2 linked regions of the Diceros bicornis minor genome follow. The protein of the gene in region 1 purifies or fractionates together with the protein of each later gene. This does not show direct contact. Links are inferred from orthologs where the notes say so. Each region holds a gene or a part of one and is shown on either strand. Other genes may lie near its edges.

Region 1 (10,457 bases):
TAATTTCCTAGTAGTATTACTGAGTCAAAACGAATAAACTTTTTTAAGGCTTTTATTATATTTTCAATAGTATTTTCTGACAGTATATAATTTTTTAAAAAATACTACGATCCAAGGGCAGGATGACATGAATTTGGATGTGACGGGGTTGGTGCTCAGCTCCGGCCTCTACAGCCACCTCATCCACTCATTTCATTACCTTTGCATTAACATGACAGTGTTTCTAAGTAATTTTTGCATCATACCATAATGGACACTGAGAAGGGAAAATGCGGGGGAGGCTTCTTTTCTGGCCCAGGTTTTCCAGGACACATTGTGTGGTAGGATAGTCAGTCTCTGTTGGTTTGTTTGATTAGGTCACACCTCTCTAGTCACGGTGCGAGAGCAGCAGTCACCTTCCCAGCATTTTACACCATTTACAAGGCGCCTCCCCTCCAGGCATCTGCTCTGCGAGTGCAGGGAGCATGGGTGGTTCTTGTTTTACTGGACCCGGGTTCACTGCTCGAGCTCACCTCGGGAAACTTTGTTAAAGTAACATATTTAAAAGAACATTCACTGTTGTATTTTTCTGATCCTAAAATAGTAAAAGTAACACTTGTTCCTTTGAGAAAGTGCAGAAAAGTGTAAAAAGAAAAATAAAAATCTCTTAGAAACTCGCCATTTAGAAGTAATTCTTTGGTCACATTTGGTGGGTTTTCCCCAATTTAATTCACAAATTTAAATTTTAGTGTATGTATATACATATATAAAATTTATAAATTAGAATGTTGGTACATAATGCATACAAGGCGGAAGAGAGTGGGGATGGAAACGCCTGCAGGAAGTTTTCTTTTACTTTCAATTTTATAATATCTGTTAAATAATAAATCTGTTAAATAATAAATTCAATTATATAACTTCTGTTAAAAATAAATCTGTTAAATGTAAATATACATAAAATATATAAATATATTTGTATTATACAATGCATAAGTATATTTAATACTTTATATAATAAATTTGTCAGGAAGTATTTTGATATAAATGTTTATAACATATAGCCCTATAAACATAAAAATATTTTTTCTTGTCTCATTTTACTACAAGCCTCTGAAGAAACTGCTATTATCGTTCTCATTTTAATATTGTGAAAAGTCAGTTTAGAAATAAGCTAATAAGAGTGCAGTCAGGCTCAGATTTAAGCATCTCACTCGGGGGCTGAAATGATGGGCCCTACCAAGATTCAGATTTTGTTCTAATTGCAGTTGGAAGCTAGTGAAGGAAGAAAGGCATATAATCATAATATTTTTAAAGATTAAAATTATAAAAAATTTTAAAAGACCAAAAAAACCCCCCAAAACACAAATTCTTAACAAATCCACTATAGCAGAGAGAGGGTGAGAACCTTACAAACCAAGCCAGTAGGTGCTAGAGCCTGGATTCAGACCTAAGCATCTCATTCCAGAGTCCCAACGCTACCATCACCTTATATGCCATAAATTAATTGCAAATGAATTTCATCTAATCACAAACAATCCTTCTAGCCATATTCTAGCAGCACTCTAGCTCCTTCAGTGACATGGATAACTACATCAAAGCTGGGGAAAATAAATCCAAAACTTGCATTAATCTTCTGAAACAAAAATCTGCGTCTCATTCAAAGTTTGAAAGCCACTCTCAGTTCAAACCCCTAAGTGAGAGTGTGGCCGCTCCCTCCATCCAGAATGCCCGCCCCAGACTGGGGATTCCCCCAGAACCTGGCAGCCGTCCACCCTGCACACAAACACGGTCAAACACAGGGCCCTGCAGCCAGAGCTTTCACAGCCTAGTAAAGGTGTTCAAATCTCAACAAAACTTACAGCTGACCTGTAATTTTCCAACTGGATGATATTCATAACTTCACCTCTACATACTTGTACCTCACAAGCACAGGTCTCTGATTTTGTCAGTCTGTGCTTGCCATTCTACTATTTTCTGTACTGTTCTGTACCTTTTTAATTTCTTTTAAAAAATGAATAATTGAATTATTAGGACTGTGTGCATGTGTGTGTGTCTGTCAGTGGGTATGTGTTGGCAGATGGGTAAGCATAGCAACAAAATCAGTTGAAATTTAAATTTCGGTTTCTATTCTTTGACAAATTTGGCCAGCATAAGGATGAGGGTTCTATACGGATAGCTATACTTGGAGCATTCCAGAAAAGCCTCCAGGAATTCATCAACCTGAGCTGGAGGGGCCCTGAGAGCTGGAAACTGTGGGGTGCTCGCCGTGGCTCTCAGAGAAAGTGCTAACACTCATGGTTTCCCCACCCACACTCAAACGCAAGGATCACCCAGATTCCACCCTCAGCAGCCTAGAAAACTCTAGAATCCAAGGCCTTCCTCCCCGAAGGCCCAACTGACCTTATGAAAGCAAATCCTGGGATCCTCGAAGCGGCAGCAGCTTCTTCGCAGGCCTCTTTCTGCTGGCGCATCCAAGACAAGAGTAAAAAACAAATGAAGAACCAAAAGCACAGCTCGCTCTACTTCCTGTTTTAAAAACTCCTGAGTCAATAGGCCGAGTGAGGTAGGCTGGCCTCAGAGCAGCGCCTCCTTCCAGAGCTGCCAGAGAGAGACCAGGTGCAACAGGCCACAGCACGCTGGGTTGGGAGCCCGGCCACCTGAGCCCTGGCCTGGCCGTGTGACTGTGGACGGGTCATTTCACCTCTGGGGCCTCATCACCACAATCCAAATAGGAAAGTTGGACTGGATGTTAACTAAGAACCCCCTCTTTTCATATGTCAGGAATTTACAGATTTTCTGGGTTCATTACTAAGACTTCAATGTTTTCATTCAATAAATATCGATTAAGCACTTCTGAGAGATCTTGAGATCTGGGAACTGTGGGGCCCTCACCACGGCTCTCAGAGGGTATGCTAACTCCTACAGCTAACTCCCGCGGTTTCCCCAGCTACGCTCAAATACAAGGATCACCTCTATGGCCCTGAGGCCACCAGATCCCACCCTTAACAGCCTAGAAAATTCTAGAATCAAAGGCCTTCCTCCCATAAGGCCCAGCAGACCTTACCAAAGAGGGGCCCTGGAGATATAACCACGAACACACATTAGCCCTGCCTTTTTGCTGTGAGTTGGTTGAAATGTTTTCTGATATTAAAAGCAGAAAAAAAAGAAAATCAAACACCTCTGTTTTTTGAAACTGCCTTTTTTCTTTTCCCAGATGGAATATAAGCTTTCAGAGGGCCGAGACCCATGTTATAGTTGAGAGGATGAAATGAGGTGTCTGCAAGTGCCTCTTCACCTTAGCGGGCAAGGTAAGGGTGCCATGGTAACATTGACGCCCCTCACTACCACTTGAGTCTGCTCGTAAAGCCTGTGTGAGAACACAGCAAAAGAATGAAAGCCTGCAGGGGCTAAATCCTAGCCCAGGAGCTGTTCCCTGACTCTTTCTTGATGCCTCCTGAGCATCCACCCCAGCATTTGTTCCACTCTTTTGTGACTAGTTCCTGTCCTGGGCTGTGAGCTTCACAGGGCAGAGACCGCATCTTTCATGTCCATGTTCCCAGGACCTGCCATGGGAATAGCAAGATCCAGAACGTACAAAGGTTTCCTGCAAATCAACAAGAAAAGAAACCCAGTAGAAGGACAATGGATACAACGTGGACTTCCCTGATAGGGATGCTCAAATAGCCAAAGTGTACCAAGGGATGCTCAAACTCATCAGTAACTGGGGAAACACGAAATAAAGCCAGGAAATACCCACTTTATACCTATCAGATTGACAAAGATTTGCAAGTTGGATCAGACCAAGGACTGGTGGCCAAGTTCTTACATAGTCCTCATATAGGACTGGGGAGACTGTCCATCGTGTAATACCTTGTAGTGGTTAGGAAGTGGGACCTGGCAAAATACATAGAATTTAGAGGGCAGAGTGCTTACTTTTTACAAATAATACTCATATGCAATAATAATTGCTAACACTTACTGGGTACTTCGTAGTGCCAGTCACTCTTGTAAGTGGTTAACACGTATTATCTCCTCCAATCCTCACAACCACCTCAGGAGGTAGCATTAATTCCATTTAATGATGAGGAAACAGACATCAAGAAATACTTACTTGCTCCAGGTCACAGAGTTTAGATATAGTGTACACACACAAAACAACGATACATTTTGCAAAGACAGATCAATTCAGGGATACTTATAAAAGACGCAGAGAGTGGTCATTGGGGAGCCAGTGAGTGGTGTCGGAAGTGTGGTGGGGGTAGGGCGATCAAAGAAATTGCTTAGAACGGGGTGGGGGGGGGAGTGTTGCAGGCTGGGAGACCAAGGATGACAGGCCATGGGGTCTGACAGAATGATTAACTCAACCCTCTGTCCCAGGGCCCAACGGAAAAGAAAACAAACATAAACGGGTTAATGAAGTCTTGTGGGATCCAGCAGGAGAGAGACACTGTCTGTACTGAGGCAGCTGGGGAGACTGTGAACAGAAGTGCAGCAGAGGAGCTGGAGATTCCTCAGAGTTAGCAAGGCCGGTGGCTGTGGTTCAGAGAGAAACGCCATTCGGACGTCTGCGCCCTGGCAGGCCCGGAGGTGTCTCCACTCGGTCGGGAAACGCAGTCCCCAGAAGCCGTGTCTGCACGAGGCACTCACCTGCTCCACTCTGTCCCGGCAACATCACAGTCACCAGGTCCCCATGCCAGACCCCTGACCGGCCTAGTTTCACACACAAATTCTTAAGGCTTGTCCACACAGCCACAGAAAAAGCCCGTGAAACAGGGAGGGAGGAGGGGAGCGGGGACGGAAACGCCTCCAGGAAGAAGATTTCCTTTACTTTCGATCCCTCCTCCGGGCTCTTCTCCTCCCCCAGCGGACTCATTTCCTGTTTCTCTGTTCTCCACATTCAGAATTTACTAGCAAATCCAGCGGGGCTTTAAAAAAATCACAAGAGACAAAGGGGAACCTGCGAAAACATTGCCCTCCAGCAGAAGGGCAAAATCTGGTCTCGGCAAGAGAGAGAGAAAATTCCTCAACAAAAAGAACTAGAGAATAAAGCTGATTCCTAAAACTGGAGATCAGTGACTCATTCAACAAGAAATGTTTCTTATTATGGTGCTGAGTTCCAACCATTCAGAGGAGGAGATGACAGACAGTTCGTCAACGTGCAAACTGAAAACCAGGAAGCTGGACATGCTTTATTGGAAAGCATTTGTCCTGACTACATTTACTATTAATAACCCCTGTAATTTTTAAAGACAGGCTTGAGACTGCCCATGGCAAGTATAATGCCATTTTCCCGTGACAGGCTGGGGAGAGGAATTGTCCCTCTGTGCCGTGGCCCAAATCTCTGCCCGGATACCATGGACCAGCCGTGAGATCCTATGTCTGAGCTCTCCTTGGGTAAGAGCAGGCTTCTGGCTGAAATGTGGGGAGACTGTGCACAAAAAGGGTGGAGTGGGTCTGGCCCAGTCCTGAGTAGGAGTAGCAACAGTGTTCGCATCCCTAGCCAAGCTCCCAAGAGCAGTAGTAAGCAGTGCCTGTCCAGGGCCGAGGCTGGGGTGGTGTAATGTGGAGATCTGCCCCCCAGACCTGCCCAGGGGCCCTCACCAGTTTTTCTTCATCCTTCGTCCCCTCCCCACTCTCTGCTTCTGTTTCCAGTTTCAATTATTTCAAGGGTTTTCTGCCCTTTTGTTTTCACATCTTGTACATTTTTTTAAATTATTTTATTGAGGTCATATTGGCTCATAACATCGTGTAAATTTCAGGTGTACATTATTATAGTTCAGTTTCTGTATAGACTGCATTGTGTCCACCACCAATAGTCTAGTTTTTATCCCTCACCCTGCATACGTGCCCCTTTACTCCTTTTACCCTCCCACCACTCCCTTCCCCTCAGCCACGTGCAAAAGAATGAAAGTAGACCATTATCTTACACCACACACAAAAATTAACTCAAAATGGATTAAAGCCTTGAATGTAAGACCTGAGACCATAAAACTCCTAGAAGAAAATATAGGCAGTACCTTCTTTGCCATCGGTCTTAGCAGCATCTTTTTGAATACCGTGTCTACTCAGGCAAGGGAAACAAAAGAAAAACTAAGCAAATGGGACTACATTGTCTTGTACATTTTGTAACCAAAACACTGACAATAATACAGTACTGTCTTGACATGAGTACAGCCATGTTTGGCCGCTCCATTGACCTACAGCCACCAGCACAAAAAGAAATATAAAAGCTGCTTTCTGTGTGGTGGGAACTGGCCTTTTCCCGGGAACTGGCCTTTCTCCCACAGAGAGAGTTGCAAGTTGTAACATTTCAAGGCTCTTGGAGCGTCGTAGCACGGGATGGACTGGCCATCTGTGCCGGGCTGAGACGATAACCAAAGAGAACAATGCACGTACACAACTACTGGGCCGGGATGTTAGCCAGGAGGCTCAGTGCACGTACGCCACTGATAACCATTTTGTACATGGGAACACTAAATGCTTGCTCTGCAAACTCTGTAATTGCTTACTCTGAAAATTACTGATGGTATAAAAACTGCTGGAAACTGAGCCCCGGTGAGAGTTCCACCTGTGGAAGGGACACCTTGCCCAGGACGTGTGATCCTTGCCCAGCTGCGTTGATTGACAGGGCTCTCCCAGCAGTGCGTGGATGTTGTAAGTAATTGATTTGATATGAAGTAATTGATTTGATGTGTAGTAAGTGATTTGATGTGTTCTCTTTTCGGTCAACCTGGTGTTTCTCTTTCTGGTTGATTTGTGTCATTTCTCTTCAGCCAATGTGGGTGTTTTCCCTTTCCACTCGGGCTGATGTTTTTTCCCTCTTAATATTTGACCTATTTGGATCTGTTTGCAGACTATCGCCTTTACTATCCTCTATATAATAAAATATACCTTCAGTCCATTTGTTTGGAGTGGAAAGTGTCTTTTACGTCTCCGATCGAATCCCCGAACCTCTCGTAACAAGTACCTATATGTTGTACCCTTTACGTGGGTTATCTCTAACTCTCACAGCAATGCAGGGGGTTGTTCTCCCATGTGATGGATGAGAAAACTGAGGCTTAAACACATAGACTCAAACTCAGTCCTCTTGGACCAAACACATGGATTTTTCCACTGTAGCACACTAGCCCCCCTTCCTCAACACTTAGGATGTGAAGTGAACCGCGTAGATGGAAAAGCAATAAATTTAAACTAAGAGGGAGTGACCTATGCACAAAGTTCAGACAGTCTTTGGGTTCTCAGTCACCTAAGAAAAAGGAGCTGGTCTAAGGGCACTAGCTAACATTTATCAAACATTTTGTGTGCCAGACACAGCCGCCTAAACTGGCTCACTTCACCTTCCGAACAATTCTCAGAAGTGGATGCTATTTTTGCTCCCATTTTGTGGGTGAGGAAACCGAGGCTTGGAGAGGTTGAAAGACTTGGCTGAGTGCGTTCAGGTAGTGAGTGACAGAGTGAGGTCTGTTTGTCTCTAAGACACTGACCAGTTAGTCACTGTCTAAGTATTCATACACAACCATGGTTCTCGATTTGACTGATCTGAGAATTAACTGAGGAGGCTTAAAAAAAACACCAGTCTTCAGGTCCCAGCTTTGGAATTCCCACCCAAGCAGAATTAGAGGAGATGAAACAGATGGAGCACTTAGCGTAGTGCCTGGGCCTTCGACAGTTCTCAACAGATACTCACTACCACTGTTACTTTGGCTCACGACGTCTGTAAGACTGCTTGGATTATGAGACATATTGTACAGATAAGGAACTAAGTTCGTGTCAATCAGCTGACAAGTGGCCAGGCCAGTGCAGGAACCCAGGAAGGTCTCACTCGAGGGTTTGTGCTCATCTGCTGTCCACACCCAGGCCCAGCCTGGCAGAAATGGATGAACCCCTGGAGGTGCTGAGGTTGGGTTGCGGGTCTCAGGACTTCCACTTGTGTCATCTGTAAGGGATTGATCCTTGGCTCTCCTGGTCTTAGCTCTTTTTAAAAAGGAAGATGAATAATTAACAAGTGAATTGGAACCTTAAGTTGGTTAAGTTCCTATTATGATCCGCAAGGATCATTATTAATTCACTTGCTCTTACCAGTGTCTTGGTGCCATCTTGAGATATGTCTTTATATCAAAATGAATAACATAGGTGGTCTGTAGGTCCCGGGGAAGCTGGGAGACCTGGAGGTGCTGCAGCAGCAGCAGGGCCTGGGGGAGTGCCCACCCAGCGCAGGATGAGGACAGCCTGGTGGGACTTAACTGCCCAGTGGTTTCCACCCTCCTGGATCTCCACTCCCACCTGGAGGCCTGCTCCAAAGAATCTCGTCTCCATTTGGAGCTGTCTATCTCCCTAAGGAAGCCAAGAAGGATTGAACCTCCTCTCACCTGGCTGCAGCACACCCGTCCTATTATCTTGGATTTGAACCACAGGACCTTAGTCAAGGATAAATACCGACAGTGAAACAAAAGTCCCCTGACAGTGCATGCTCTTTCTTTCATTGCTTCCTTATTAATTTGTGTATAACTGACCCACAGTCCAGGTGGTCTGGTGTGTGGATTCGATTAGGTCCCTCCTGACCCCTCTTTGACTCTAGCACTGGCCTTGGCTGGGCCCTAGACTCCCTCCAGGGAGTGGAGAGGAAAAGGAAAAGAGATGACTTCCAATCAATCTATTCCATCCCCTCCTGGGCCTTGCAGGGAGGGACTCAACCAGTTATCCAAACGTTTTTAACAGCCGGGATTTGCTCCGGTGTTGAGATGATTAGACAGTCACCGGCAGATAGATGGGTTTACAGTCACTGATCTCAACACGAATATTCTACACCTGCTGGTTGCCAGTACCTGCTCCTCTACTTTCCCAAAAAAAAACTACTGCCAGCAAGAGCCCATCCCACTGATCTAGAAAGGAGGAAACTGAGGTAATTATTGGGCTGTGGTGCCAATATTCACATTGCCAATCTTTTTCAACATTTTCTTGAAGGTCTGCGTGAAGACAAGGCAAGGGTCCTCCATGTTCTCGCTTGACTATATGCCCACACCCAAGGAATGGGTCACCTCAAACCCTAAGGGCAAGTTTCAAGAGTCATTTTAAAGAAATTTTTTTATTATGGTAAATTATATGTAGCATAAAATTTACCATTCTAACCATTTTTAAGTGTACAGTTCAGTGGCATTAAGTACATTCACATTGCTGTGCAACTGTCACTACCATCCAAGAGCCACTTTAAATGATATGATAACAATATATTTGTTAAGCATGAGGCAGTTTTAGAGCGATTTTCCTACTTCAGCTCATTTGGTCCTCACTCATAACCACATTTTTTGGTCTACCAGGCAGGGCAAGTGTTATGAAGACATTTAGGAAACCAAAGCTCAGAAAGGTGATGTAACTGAGCTGGGTCTACACAGCTGTGTATCTACAGACAGGACGAGTGACGGCTTCTTAAAAAAATCAAAAGATGGAAGGATCATTCTCTGAAATACATATTTTCTCCATTTTAAAAGGAGTCACTCCTCATTTTCTTCAAAGGAAATTCATTCTTATGTTTTCTCAATGCAAAAAGGATTTTAAGAACGTCTATGGTAGGAACAATTCAAACATATTTATTTAAAAAATTGGGCAATGATTTTTTTCTCAAAACTATTACTAAAAGGGGCCGGCCCGGTGGCGCAAGCGGTTAAGTGCGCGCGCTCTGCTGAGGCGGCCCGGGTTCGCCAGTTTGGATCCCGGGCGTGCACCGACGCACCACTTGGCAAGCCATGCTGTGGCGGCATCCCATGTAAAGTGGAGGAAGATGGGCATGGATGTTAGCCCAGGGCCAGTCTTCCTCAGCAAAAAGAGGAGGATTGGCAGATGTTAGCTCAGGGCCGATCTTCCTCACGAAAAAAAAAAAAACTATTAGTAAAAATAAGAACAATACACACATTCTCAATGGGACAGCTGGTGTGCAGGCACAGGTCAGCCCACGTGAGACTGCCAAGTAGGCAAATTGTATATTTGGCCTCTTCCCCCACAAGACACTGTTTCTTCCCCCGGAAGTGTCCTTCCAGGCCCACAGTTCATACCCCATTCCTACAGAATCTAGCTCTCAACATTCAAAATGATAACTCACCAGCTATATTAGGAGGGTTAATGCAGTTTCTTATTTATCTTTCTTGGCATAGTCTATATGAAAACAAAAGCAAACATATGTTTGCATTAACTTTAATTTTTGCAGAAATGATTTGTACATTTGTATAAACATTTGTGTGTGCGTTCTACAGTTTTCTCATCTAACTCTATGGCGTAGCTCTTTTCACACCAGTGCTTATGAACCGCCTCACTCCCCTTTACCCCTGCTCAGTGCTCCGAGCTAGAGTTTCACACCACTTGAGACAACATGCATTCTAGTTGGCGTCTCTGCAAACCCACGGGGCTCCTCAGAAAGACACAGCTGAAGAGCAAGGATGCTGTGTTGACCCCGAGGCTGCCCTGGAAGCCGGCCACTTGATTCC
Region 2 (10,917 bases), on another chromosome or scaffold:
CCTGCCCCTCCACCAGACCACTGGGTGACCTTCAGCAAGTCACCAAATTTATCTGTGTCTCACACTGCTCATCAGAGAACAAAGATAATCATAGTTCCTACATCTCGGCATTGTTGTGAGAATTAAATGAGTTCCTTATGTCTATGAAGTGCTGAGAACAGAGCTTGGCCCACGGTAAGTGCTGTATTTAAGCACAAGATGTGGTTAGTACAATCATTACTCACAAAGCTGATTTCAATCAAAACCACATCCACCATCCACCTATACCATAACCTGGGGCTTCACCTCTGTCAGAGGAAATTTATCTCCCCCAGGGCCCAGACACTCCGAGTGAAGGGCTCATCAACTCCTTGGGGGGTCAATAACAGTGGCCCCCCACCAACAAACAGAAGGGGAGCCCAGTGCTGGCCTTGGCGTACTGCAGGAAACTGCCCACAGTTTCCAGGCTGCAGCTCAGGGAGGGGGCACTGGAAGCTCTGGGCCTCTGCTGAGGAGGCACGGAGAGGAGTCCAAGAGGCCAAATGCAGCGCAGAGAACTGGGGAAGGAGAAGCTGCACAGAGAGGGCTCTGGAGACGTGCAGAGGGGCCCGTCCAGGGTCTGGGTGAGAGCTGATCTGTGCACACACGAGAGGGACCCACCCAGGCTGAGAAGAGACCACTGGAAATCAGCAGGCTGGACAAGGACCGAGGCTCACCAGGGCTGGGAAATGTCCATGTTCCCATCCACCAGAGCAGACAGACCGCAGAAGACGGTGTTGGCTAGTTACCAGAAGTTTACTGTTAACCAACCCTTAAGAGTGAACTAAACTCCAATGACCTAATAACGAAATTCTTCCACTTTAATACTGAAATTGTCCCTGTGTCTTACTTGTAAAAGTAGTCATTCCTATTTCCCCCCTCCCTCTCAGTCCCTCTCTACAGACTGGAGGTGAATCCCAGCCGAGACACTTGCCCTCTCTGAGCTGCAGTTTCTCATCTGCAAGCTGTAATTATCTCACCTCCCGCAAAGGTCCGAGGTGGTCGTCTAAAGTGTTAGCACCCTGGGGTGTTAGGCACAAGGCAGATCCTCTCTCCCTTCCCCATTTCTCACATACAACTGAACAGGAATGGCGGGAGATGCTGTTCCCAGGCCAAAATAGAGCTGATATTATAAAGGAGATCAGGCCTAAAATGCTGGAGACCCATTCCTACTGAGTCTCATTTTCTCCATATGAAACACAGGTGAAAACCATACCAAACTCCCTGTGTTGTTAGGAAAATTACACTGAATAACGGATGCTCAGTGCAGGACACAAGCTGCCCAACAGCTCATGCTCAGTGCACGTTACTGCCCCCAGGCCCCCTCCCTCACCTGGAAGGCAGAGCCCTGCTCCTCTTCCATCCCTGGCTAAGGGAAAGTGGTCCAAGAACCGGGACTGAGGCCTTCTCAGCAGGCGCTGGGTGACCAGCCACCTGCAGCCACAGGGACTGATGCGTTTCCTGCTCACTCCTCAGACTGCGCCTGTGCGGGGCCCTCAGCACAGGGACAACTGAGTCATTTGAGGATGCCAGGCCTGTGGCCCTGCAATGTCATTATGGTCATCACTTGACATTTGGGCTCCTCTGCGTTCCTCCACGACCTCCTCCAGCATTGCTCTCCTCCCTGTTCTTCAGAAGCTCCTGCCTCCACCACAGGGAGCCGAGACCAAGGTGCCAACACGAGCAGGTGGCAGCCACTGCTGGGCTGGACACCATGTGCCCTGTGGCCCTCCCAGCACCACAGTGGTGGACACCACCCGAGGATGGGATCTGTCCTCCCACACAGCCTCCCACGGCGCCCCCACGGCTCTCAGGGGTTCACAAAGGGCCCTGCAGACTTCTCCCCACTTCACACGGGAGGAAGCGGGGGCCACACCAGGGGCCCAAAGCTGGAAAGGAGTCGAGCAGGCCCGCTGTCTCCAGCTCCCACAGCAGGACTCACACAGCCTGACTCAGCCTCTGAGCCTCTGAGCCTCACAGCTCCTACTTTGATAGAGAGGGACCTGAAATGGGGCCATACCAGCACTGCAGACAAGGACCTGGGGCCAGGAGAGGGCTCAGCACTGGGCCCCATCTGATGTCACCCTTCCAACAGCCCGAGCACATGGGCCCCATCTCATTACAGGCAGGGCTGCGGTGGTAACTGGCCCCAGGTGACACAGCTCAAGGGCAGAGCTGGGATTCCAGTCCCCCTGCCGCCCTCCCCTGCAGCCTAATCCGGGTCTCCTGGTCACCTGCTCCCAGTCTCAGAAACCTCATGGATCGTTGAAATCTCTAAGAGCACCAACGAAGCAGAACCACAACTCTGTGGTGCACCATTCTTTATCTCTTGACTAGCAAAGAGTTAAAGTTCAGTGTAGTGAGGGTGTGAGGAGAGAGGAGTACCTGTGGACTCAGTGTGAGTGTAAAATGGTACAGCCTTCTTCTGGGGGACAGCTGGTCATTATCTACACAAAACTACAAAATTATCTGACCCGCTGACACAGCAATTCCACTTCTAGGGAGCCACCCCACAGCACACATGGAATATGGCACATACAAGGGCATATACTCAGTGCTGTGGAGTTAGCAAAAACAAAAACCGGATATAATCTAAGAAGATATTCGTGAGACAAGAGTAAAATAAACTGGTTCACCCATATGTGCTTTACCCATACAATAAAATACCATGCTGTTGTTAAAAAGAATAAGATAACTCTACATGTACTGACATAAAACAAATAATGGAATTTGTCACTAGTTTCACGATATAACAAAAGGGATCATGACTGAAAATGCATAAAATAAAGGCAAGAGTTGAGAAGGGATGAGAAGAGGAGTTTGGGATGTCAGAGGCCTAGGTCTCACGTTCCCCAAACCATAAAATTCAGATTTTTTACCTGTCTACACAGGTATCCTCACATTCACCCAGAGACACACCGACCTGATTCAAGTGAGCCATTCAGAAAGTAGCCTTAAACATGGGTCTCACATAATGCAAACTAAAATGTTAAAAATAAATTCTGTGATTATTTTGTGATTATAAATGTTATTGCTTCTCCGAATTTTTTTTTTTTTTTTTTTTGCTGAGGAAGACCAGCTCTGAGCTAACATCTATTGCTAATCCTCCTCGTTTTTTTTCTCCTCAAAGCCCCAGTAGACAGTCGTATGCCATAGTTGCACATCCTTCTAGTTGCCGGATGTGGGACGCGGCCCCAGCATGGCCGGAGAAGCAGTGCATCAGTGCGCGCCCAGCATCCAAACCCAGGCCGCCAGCAATGGAGCACACACTCAACCACTAAGCCATGGGGCTGGCCCTCCGAATTTTAAATTAATTTGTTACATGAAAATATTTTAAACTTCATGATATCTGCAATGTTGATTTGGCATTTAATTTTTGTTTTTTAAACACCTAAGGAACCTGAAAAGTGGGATGGGCCAGAGTTTCATCAACCCTACGCCGAAGTACACAGTTTTCCACATGGAGCTTTTTCAGGAAGTATGCAGTTTTCCACATGGAGTTTTTTGAGGATGGCAGTACCAGTTTGTGCTTGGAAAGCTTCACACCCCTTCTGAAGAATGGGGCACGGTCTGGATCCCTGACTAAGCGATGAATGGCTGTTTACACAGAGACTTTTCTGTGCGCAGGAACGTGACTAGAAGAAAGCTAGGAAACTGCTCCCCGCGCACACACGGGGGTCAGAACCCAAACGTGGGGAAGGCAGCAGAGTGGTCTCTTCGCGGGCTGCGGTTTAACCGACTTCGGATAAGTACGTTTTAGAATTTAAACGTAAGTGTAAAAAGGAAAAACAGCCCCCCCCCCCCCCCCCCCCCCCCGCCCCAGCGGACAGGGGTTCGCCAGTTCGGATCCTGGGCGCGGACTTACGCACCGCTCATCAAGCCTGAGGCGGCGTCCCATATAGAAGAGCTACAGCTCTAGAACTGTGATACACAACTATGTACTGGGGCTTCCGCGAGAAACAAGAAAAAAAAAAGAGGCAGATTGGCAACAGATATTAGCACAGGGCCAATCTTCCTCAAAAAAAAAAAAAAACAGTAAAAAGAATGAAAGAAAAGATAGCCTGCGCTTGCCCGGGAGTTTCCAACTATTCTGGAATTTACCCCTAGGCCAGCCAAGGACGGGGCGGGGGAGGGGCAGCCGGCGCCAGCTCTTCTCCTCTCCCCCCAGGTAGGTGCCGCTCTTCTCCGGACTCTGCCCACTGTTCGATCTGCCTGGACATGCCTCGGGCAGGCACCCGGCCGTGTCCCCCCTCTCCCCCTGCTCCTTCCCGGCCACCAGGCGCGCCTTCCGGACTCACCGGCAGCAGGACACCGAAGACGACGAAGACAAGGGTCCTGGGGCCCCGGAGCCGAGGCCTGGCTCCTCGCGCCGGCCTGGGACCTGGGGCGCGCCCCGCCCGGGCGCCCGAGGCGGCCGGTGCGCTCGGCCCGCGCTGCCCGGTGAGGTCAGGGAGCGCTCCTAGTTCCCGCCGCCGCTGGCTGAAACCTGGCAGAGGCATCAGGAATTACTCGGTGTGTTTCCCGGGGCGCTGGGACGTCCTGCAGGACGCGGGGTGTTGAGGATATTTGCTTTTTGGGACTGTGGCAGCCTGTTTTCTTATCTTTGACATTGCGTCAGCATGGTGTCAGCGGGAGGGGCGAATCGGAGCCAATAAGCAAACCTTCCCACAGGTTGGCAAGACTCGTGACTTCAGTGACGTGTAGATACATCCAGGCCCCGCCTGAGTGAGAGCCACACGCCCTCTGGGAGCACCGTTCGAAAGTGAGGCGGGATGTGGAAAGAAGGGTATTGTGGCAGCGGCTACCCCGGGGCGTGCAGTTCGTTTCTGGGTCCTGTCCACGCTAGGACAGGCACAGGAGGCGGGGGTGGAGGGTGGGGGGGACCTGGGGGGTAGGGGGGCCTCATCTCCCTGACGTTGTGCCCTCTGCTGTGACCGGTGTAGTGAGGTTGAGAGTCCGCATCCAGGACCTGTCCTGATCCTGCCCTCTTTCTAGAGCCAAAGCATCTCATGTTCGTAAACCCTGTACTATCCAGTCCTGACTAGGGCCCTCTGCCCGCTTTTAACTTCTGCTCCCTGCTCCCGCCAAGGGTCTCTTTGACCTAGTGCACGGATGTCATTCATCCAGGGTCACATTGCAGCTCTGTCTCAGCCCAACGTTTCTCTGTCAGGGGCTTGGTCTTAGTACCTCCGTAGCCAGGTGCCTGGCACAGAGCAGACGCTCAATGAATGGACGGGTTGCCGGAAGGAAGGACACAGAGGCCATGATCAGCGGGTCTGAATTCTGGTCACCAATAGACTTCCACACCTCCCCCATCAACACCTTGAACATTCTGGTAATTCCAGGTCCGTCATTTGTCTCTTGTCTGAGGTCTTCATGTTATCTCATCTCAACCTGCCTGCTGCTGCTGTCAGGCAAGCCGGAGGAACCCACTTCAGCCTCTCTTCTGGATCTTCCTTCCCTGTTAGATGCTTTAAAACCCTTAGGAAACAGAACCTCAGAGACTACTGGACGCATGAAACCAGAGGGGCCTAGGTAGGGTCCTCCCCACGTGGGCCAGGCCCTTCCAGCTGTCCTACACCCCCAGCTCTGTGCTAGGCCTGTTTTATCTTCCCAGCTCTCTGAATATCTGTCAATGATAATAGGGCCCTGATTTCACAATCCAGGGTCACCATTCACATTGGGCAATGCTGTGCTTCCTGTCATCAGGCTCAGAGACATGTGTCCAAGTCACCCTCGACTGCCCCATCTCCCCAGTTTGTCAGGCCCATGTAGTTACCAAAGCCTGCCCATCCCACTCCTCACAGTTCCCGCATCTTCCTCCTCTCTCCATCTAGTCCTCCAGTGTCTGGGTAGGGCCTCTGATGTCTGTGGGTTGTTGCCACAGACTCCATAGTGCTGTTCCCAAGCCCGTGTCCCTCCCTCTTCCTCATGCCAAGGAGGATGGTGGGACACAGCTGGCTCCAGTGAAAGGAATTTGTCAGTTGGCACCGGGAGGAAAAAGCCAGCTCTGGCACTGGGTGAGTCGGTGCTGCTGGGCTCTTCATCCTACAGGGTGTGTGAGCATTTGATGACACAACGCAAGTACAAATACTTGGTTCAAAAAGCTCCATTGAAAGTCTGTTACAGTACATTTCAGATTTGATGATACAAAATAAAAAGAATGATAAAAGAACTCTTATTAGGAAACCCTTCTCCACTGAAAGGAAAAATCTACTAGTGGGTGAGCAGCAGAGCAGGGTTGCTGGTTGGCTGTGGTCCTCAGCCGGTGGCACCAAAACACACACAAAGGGGGGTCTGGTGTCCTGGGTTCAACATGTGGAGGAGAGGGACAGCTGTCAAATGGCAGACCTTTTACAGTGATTCAGCAGGGAGAGCGTGAGGTGCACTCACAAGGATAGAGAAGAAAGAGGAAACCTGAGACGTAACAGACAAGTGATGAGAGATGAATATGAGCAGTCAAGGAAAAAGGGCAAAGGTGACTCCAGACTCAGGAGGCGGGTGGGTGAGAATACTTATCACTGTTGTAGTCATCGATTCAGAAAATGTGCTTGTCCAATCTCAAGATGCTATAAGTTGTCAGTAAAACTGAAAAACGTGGAAAGCATGTAATGAAATTCCACATAGTGGGCATTTCACACCCAGGCAGCACAGCATGTGCACCCCCTGTCTTCTAGGCTACTTGGGACTAATTTTTGGCCTCTCTGATCCTCAGTTTTGCTGTTATAAATGGGCGTGGTCATATCTTTCAGACTGGCTTTCTGTTTTGGACTTAAGAGTAGGAGTAGCTCCTGGCATAAATGGAACACTGGGCTATTGAAGGTTCCAGCTGTCTTCTCTGGATGCTGTCTCCACATTCCAGAGGGAGTCTTGATAGCGGTTCCATAGCCGCACCTCTTTCTTCAGACTGGTTTGTTGTAGGGACACCAAGAGGGCCACAGAGGCAGTCTACACAGGTCCAAAGCCCTGTTGGTGTGAAGGGTGGAATGTGAGACATCTTGTCAACTGTCTACAGCAGTAGGGAGACGGTGCTTGCTCCCCTCCTTCCTTCCTTCCTTCTTTCCTTCCTTTTTTCTTTTCTTGTTTCCTCCCTTCCTCCCTCCCTTCCTTCCTGTCTTTCTTTTTAAACAGTGCATTTTTTTTGGACATACCAAAAGTTATATAAGATCATATAGTGGACTTTAATGTCCTCATAATCTTGCCTAAGAAATAAAATAATTGCAAATGCAGTCAAAGGCCCCCCAAAAACTTGTCAATCACGTTTCCCTCCCTGTAGCAAGTTCTTTTCCAGTGATTGCATGTCTAGTTTCAGGAGAACCACAGGAAAGTTTCCTTGATCAAAGGTGGCACCAGATGGAAAGAGTTTAAAACTAGGAAGTACGTTACACATTTCTAACACCTTGTTATTGGTTATATTATGACAGAGTAAAGTCTTGGCTTCCTGGTCTGACATTTAAGACCTCGCTGTGGCCTGACCTCTATTGGCCTCTCCATCCATTTCTTTCACTCTTCTTGACCTCCAGTCATGCTGGTAGCTATTGTTTCCAGCTCATCCTATGGACATCTCCTTGTTATCACATTCCTTTTGTCCCAGGACTCACTTTTTTTTTTTTTTATTTTGCATTCATTATCTTCCAGAAGAAATAGCACAAGACTAGTAATGCACTGGCAAGCAATTGTCAGGCTCTTGACAATAACGAAAAGAAACAAACAGTATGAATGTCTGAAGGCAGGGATCCATCCAAGCTTAAAGTACTAAAAATAAGCCAGTGACGACAAATGAGTAATTGCACCACATTTCCTTATACTCATGGCATTTGATACATGGGGAGTAAAAGCAGCAGCAGCCACGATTCAAGCTACCTTGAAGGTCAGGTTGGGTCTCTGCTACAGTCTAACAATTCCAAACACCAGGTAATAGGAATATTTCCCTCCCCCTCCCCCTTTTTAAAAAAAAAAAAACTATTTCTTTTTATTGAGATATAATTGACATATAACATTATACTAGTTTCAGGTGTACCGCATAATGATTCAATGTTGTATATATTGCAAAATGGTCACCACAATAAGTCTATTTAACATCTGTCACCACACATAGTTACAAATTGTTTTTTTCTTGTGATGAGAACTTTTAAGATCTATTCTCTTAGCAACTTTCAGATATGCCATACAGTATTGTTAACTATAGTCACCATGCTGTACATTACATCTCCAGCACTTATTTATTTTATAACCTGGAGGTTTATACCTTGCCCTTGAAGGGAGTGTCCTATTTTATGTTCTCTACCATGCTTATTGCAATTACCTTAGGGTTCATTCTTTATTCCATCTCATCTAAAAGATGTCTTCTTTCTTGGAAATACAGTAGCTGTTATCTCTACCACTCACTTGACACAAGCATGTCTTACCTTCTATTTTCGGGGGTTTTTTTTGCATACTGCATATGTTGTGACTCGACAATTCTGTTAACATAATAATTTTCTTATCCCCTCTGTTTTTTTTTTTAACTTCAAATGTCTCTTTGTTTTCCACATTGTGTCTTACACACATCATCTAACACAAAGAGTTTGCTCAGTTATTCTAGATCTTGATCTTAGGGAGACATAGACTTGTCCCAATACCTTTTTTCCTTACTGGGAATATTTAAGCTTTCCAAATGACTGTTGTTTCCAATTATTGAAGTCCTTGATGAAGATGGCCAGTGTGGGCAGTGGTGCAAGTGGGAGGCAGGGGCTAGCTCATTCAAGGACAAGCCAGAATAGGCAGCTTCCTACTTTTATCTTCCCTCCTCTGGTTCCTCTTTTAGGCTATTTATATTTGAATATTAGCCATGCAGAAAGTGGGTAGAACCCATCACTTATTGTCACAGTTCCCTAACTTTTCTCCTGTTTGAGAAAGTCTTTGATCATTTTATGACTAATTTTGGAGCTACCTCTTACTTGGTAACCTGGTGGCCCAAAGGAGGGCTAAAGAGGGCTACCTAGAGCCTTTCCCTCTTGGCCATACTGACCTGTGTCAGGTGGAAATCCTTTTCACCCTCCCTCTTGTACGTGAAAATGATGATAATGGTGCTGCCACAGACAGGAATTGAGGCTTCTGGAAAATCCAGAGTTGGCTTTGTTATTGCCACCTTCCTGATCAGTTACCTTACATGGAGGGCCACAGCCTCAGGACCTGCTGTCAGGGCAGGTAGATGGAGCAGGACAGCTCTGTCCTCACAGTCAAAGGGAGTTCTCAGTGTTCACAGTGACAGTGGGTAGCATCCAGGACTCTTGGCGGTGCTGTTTATGTTTCTTAAACATATTCACAATGTCAGTGCCTAAAGCTATGCAGGCAAACAGCGCCTGCCATAGACTTAAGGAATCCAGTTTTACTGGATGCCTGATATTCACCTGACGCTGATTTAGACACTTTACATTCATTGTCTTATTCAATTCTCATAGCAGTTCTGTGGGGAGGTGTTGGCAGCCCATTACTGCAGATGAGGAAAGCTGAGGCCCTGAAAGATGATGCAGCTTGCTCAGGTGAGGTCCCTACATTTAAATAATGGAACTGCAGTTTAAACCTCTCTTGTCTGATCCCAAATCCTTCTTCTCCTCTCCACTGTGGTGATGTGCTGAAAAGTTTGCTCAGAGGATGTGGCCCAGGCTGTATATGTTTACAGAAGACACTGTCCCCTCTGTGTGGGAGGTGCCCCATCTTGTTTCATTGCCTTAGTCACCAAGAGAACCTTGCCCAGTGCCTGGCTCAAAGCAGATGCTTGGTAAATGTTGGCTGCACAGTGAATGAATAAAAGAAGGGCCACGTGACAGGAGTTCATCCCTTTTGTCTATTTTCTACTTCTTGGGGACTCCTACCAGAATCCCTCTTCCACTCTAGGAGGATCACAAACATCATCGTAAATTCAGATTTTTTTTTTTTTGTGAGGAAGATCAGCCCTGAACTAACATCCATGCTAATCCTCCTCTTTTTGCTGAGGAAGACCGGCTCTGAGCTAACATCTATTGCCAATCCTCCTCCTTTTTTTTTTTTTTCCCCAAAGCCCCAGTAGATAGTTGTATGTCATAGTTGCACATTTAAATTCAGATTGATGAGAGCAAAGGCCATTTGTGCAATCGTACCAATGAGGAGCAGTTTCATTACTATCAAACAGATAGGAAGAATTGAGATCTTTTCAATATTTTTCTTATCAAAAAAGATATTTCAACTCAAGTATTCTATTATAATTCACTTGAGATTTGTGATTTTCTTCAGATAAATTATTATTATTTCTTATCAAGTCTATTTCTTTGTATTTTCTGTATTTTGTAACCCTTGTGAATTGGATTCGCCTATAAATACGGTTTTTAACTGGTTCTTTTTGCTAAATTTTTTTAACATTCATCCGGATATACATTTATTTTATTTACTGTAGTTTAAACCTAAGGGTTTTTAAAGTAGGCAATCAAGTCTAAAATAGTGATTACTTTCACTGCTCCCTTCCAAGAGTCTTGCCTTTTGTTTTCGGTTCTTGTTGCATAGGCTAGAACTTTCAGTACAATGTTCAATAGTGGTTAGAGGAGGTAAGCATTTTGGTCTTGATTTGATTTTATTGGGAAGGCCTAAGGCCTTTCACCATTAGTAGTGACATTGGCTCTTGTTTTCCTATAGAAATTATTATTATTATGTATCCTCCTATTCTGATCTGTTTTAAGAATGAGAATAGGTGTTTAAATTTTCCAAAGCCTTTTCAGCCTCCATTGAGACTATATGATTTTTATTTAGACTACTGGTATTGTACATTATTATTAATCAGAACACATTCACATTCTTGGAATAAGCTCTTACTTTAGATTTTCCAAAGTACCCTCATATATAGTCTTCTATTGAGTTTCAAAAAGTCTGTGAGGAAGTGACTGT

What was found. The genes of interacting proteins can lie anywhere in the genome.
Region 2: the proteins of CASP8 (region 1) and tumor necrosis factor receptor superfamily member 10A-like purify together in Homo sapiens (affinity purification with western blotting; 13 studies listed by BioGRID and IntAct, counting the BioPlex papers as one, with this or other methods). This does not show direct contact. The link is inferred for Diceros bicornis minor from reciprocal best matches to the Homo sapiens genes CASP8 and TNFRSF10A.

Annotation. Positions count from the first base shown.
Region 1 is NC_080749.1:79,143,044-79,153,500, reverse strand, and holds the start of CASP8 (caspase-8), read right to left. Parts: upstream 4,737-10,457; 5' UTR 4,627-4,736; intron 2,442-4,626; exon of another isoform or gene 2,380-2,441; intron 1-2,379. UniProt on the Homo sapiens protein: Thiol protease that plays a key role in programmed cell death by acting as a molecular switch for apoptosis, necroptosis and pyroptosis, and is required to prevent tissue damage during embryonic development and adulthood.
Region 2 is NC_080750.1:70,844,552-70,855,468, reverse strand, and holds the start of tumor necrosis factor receptor superfamily member 10A-like, read right to left. Parts: upstream 4,595-10,917; 5' UTR 4,518-4,594; coding exon 4,317-4,517; intron 1-4,316. UniProt on the Homo sapiens protein: Receptor for the cytotoxic ligand TNFSF10/TRAIL. The adapter molecule FADD recruits caspase-8 to the activated receptor.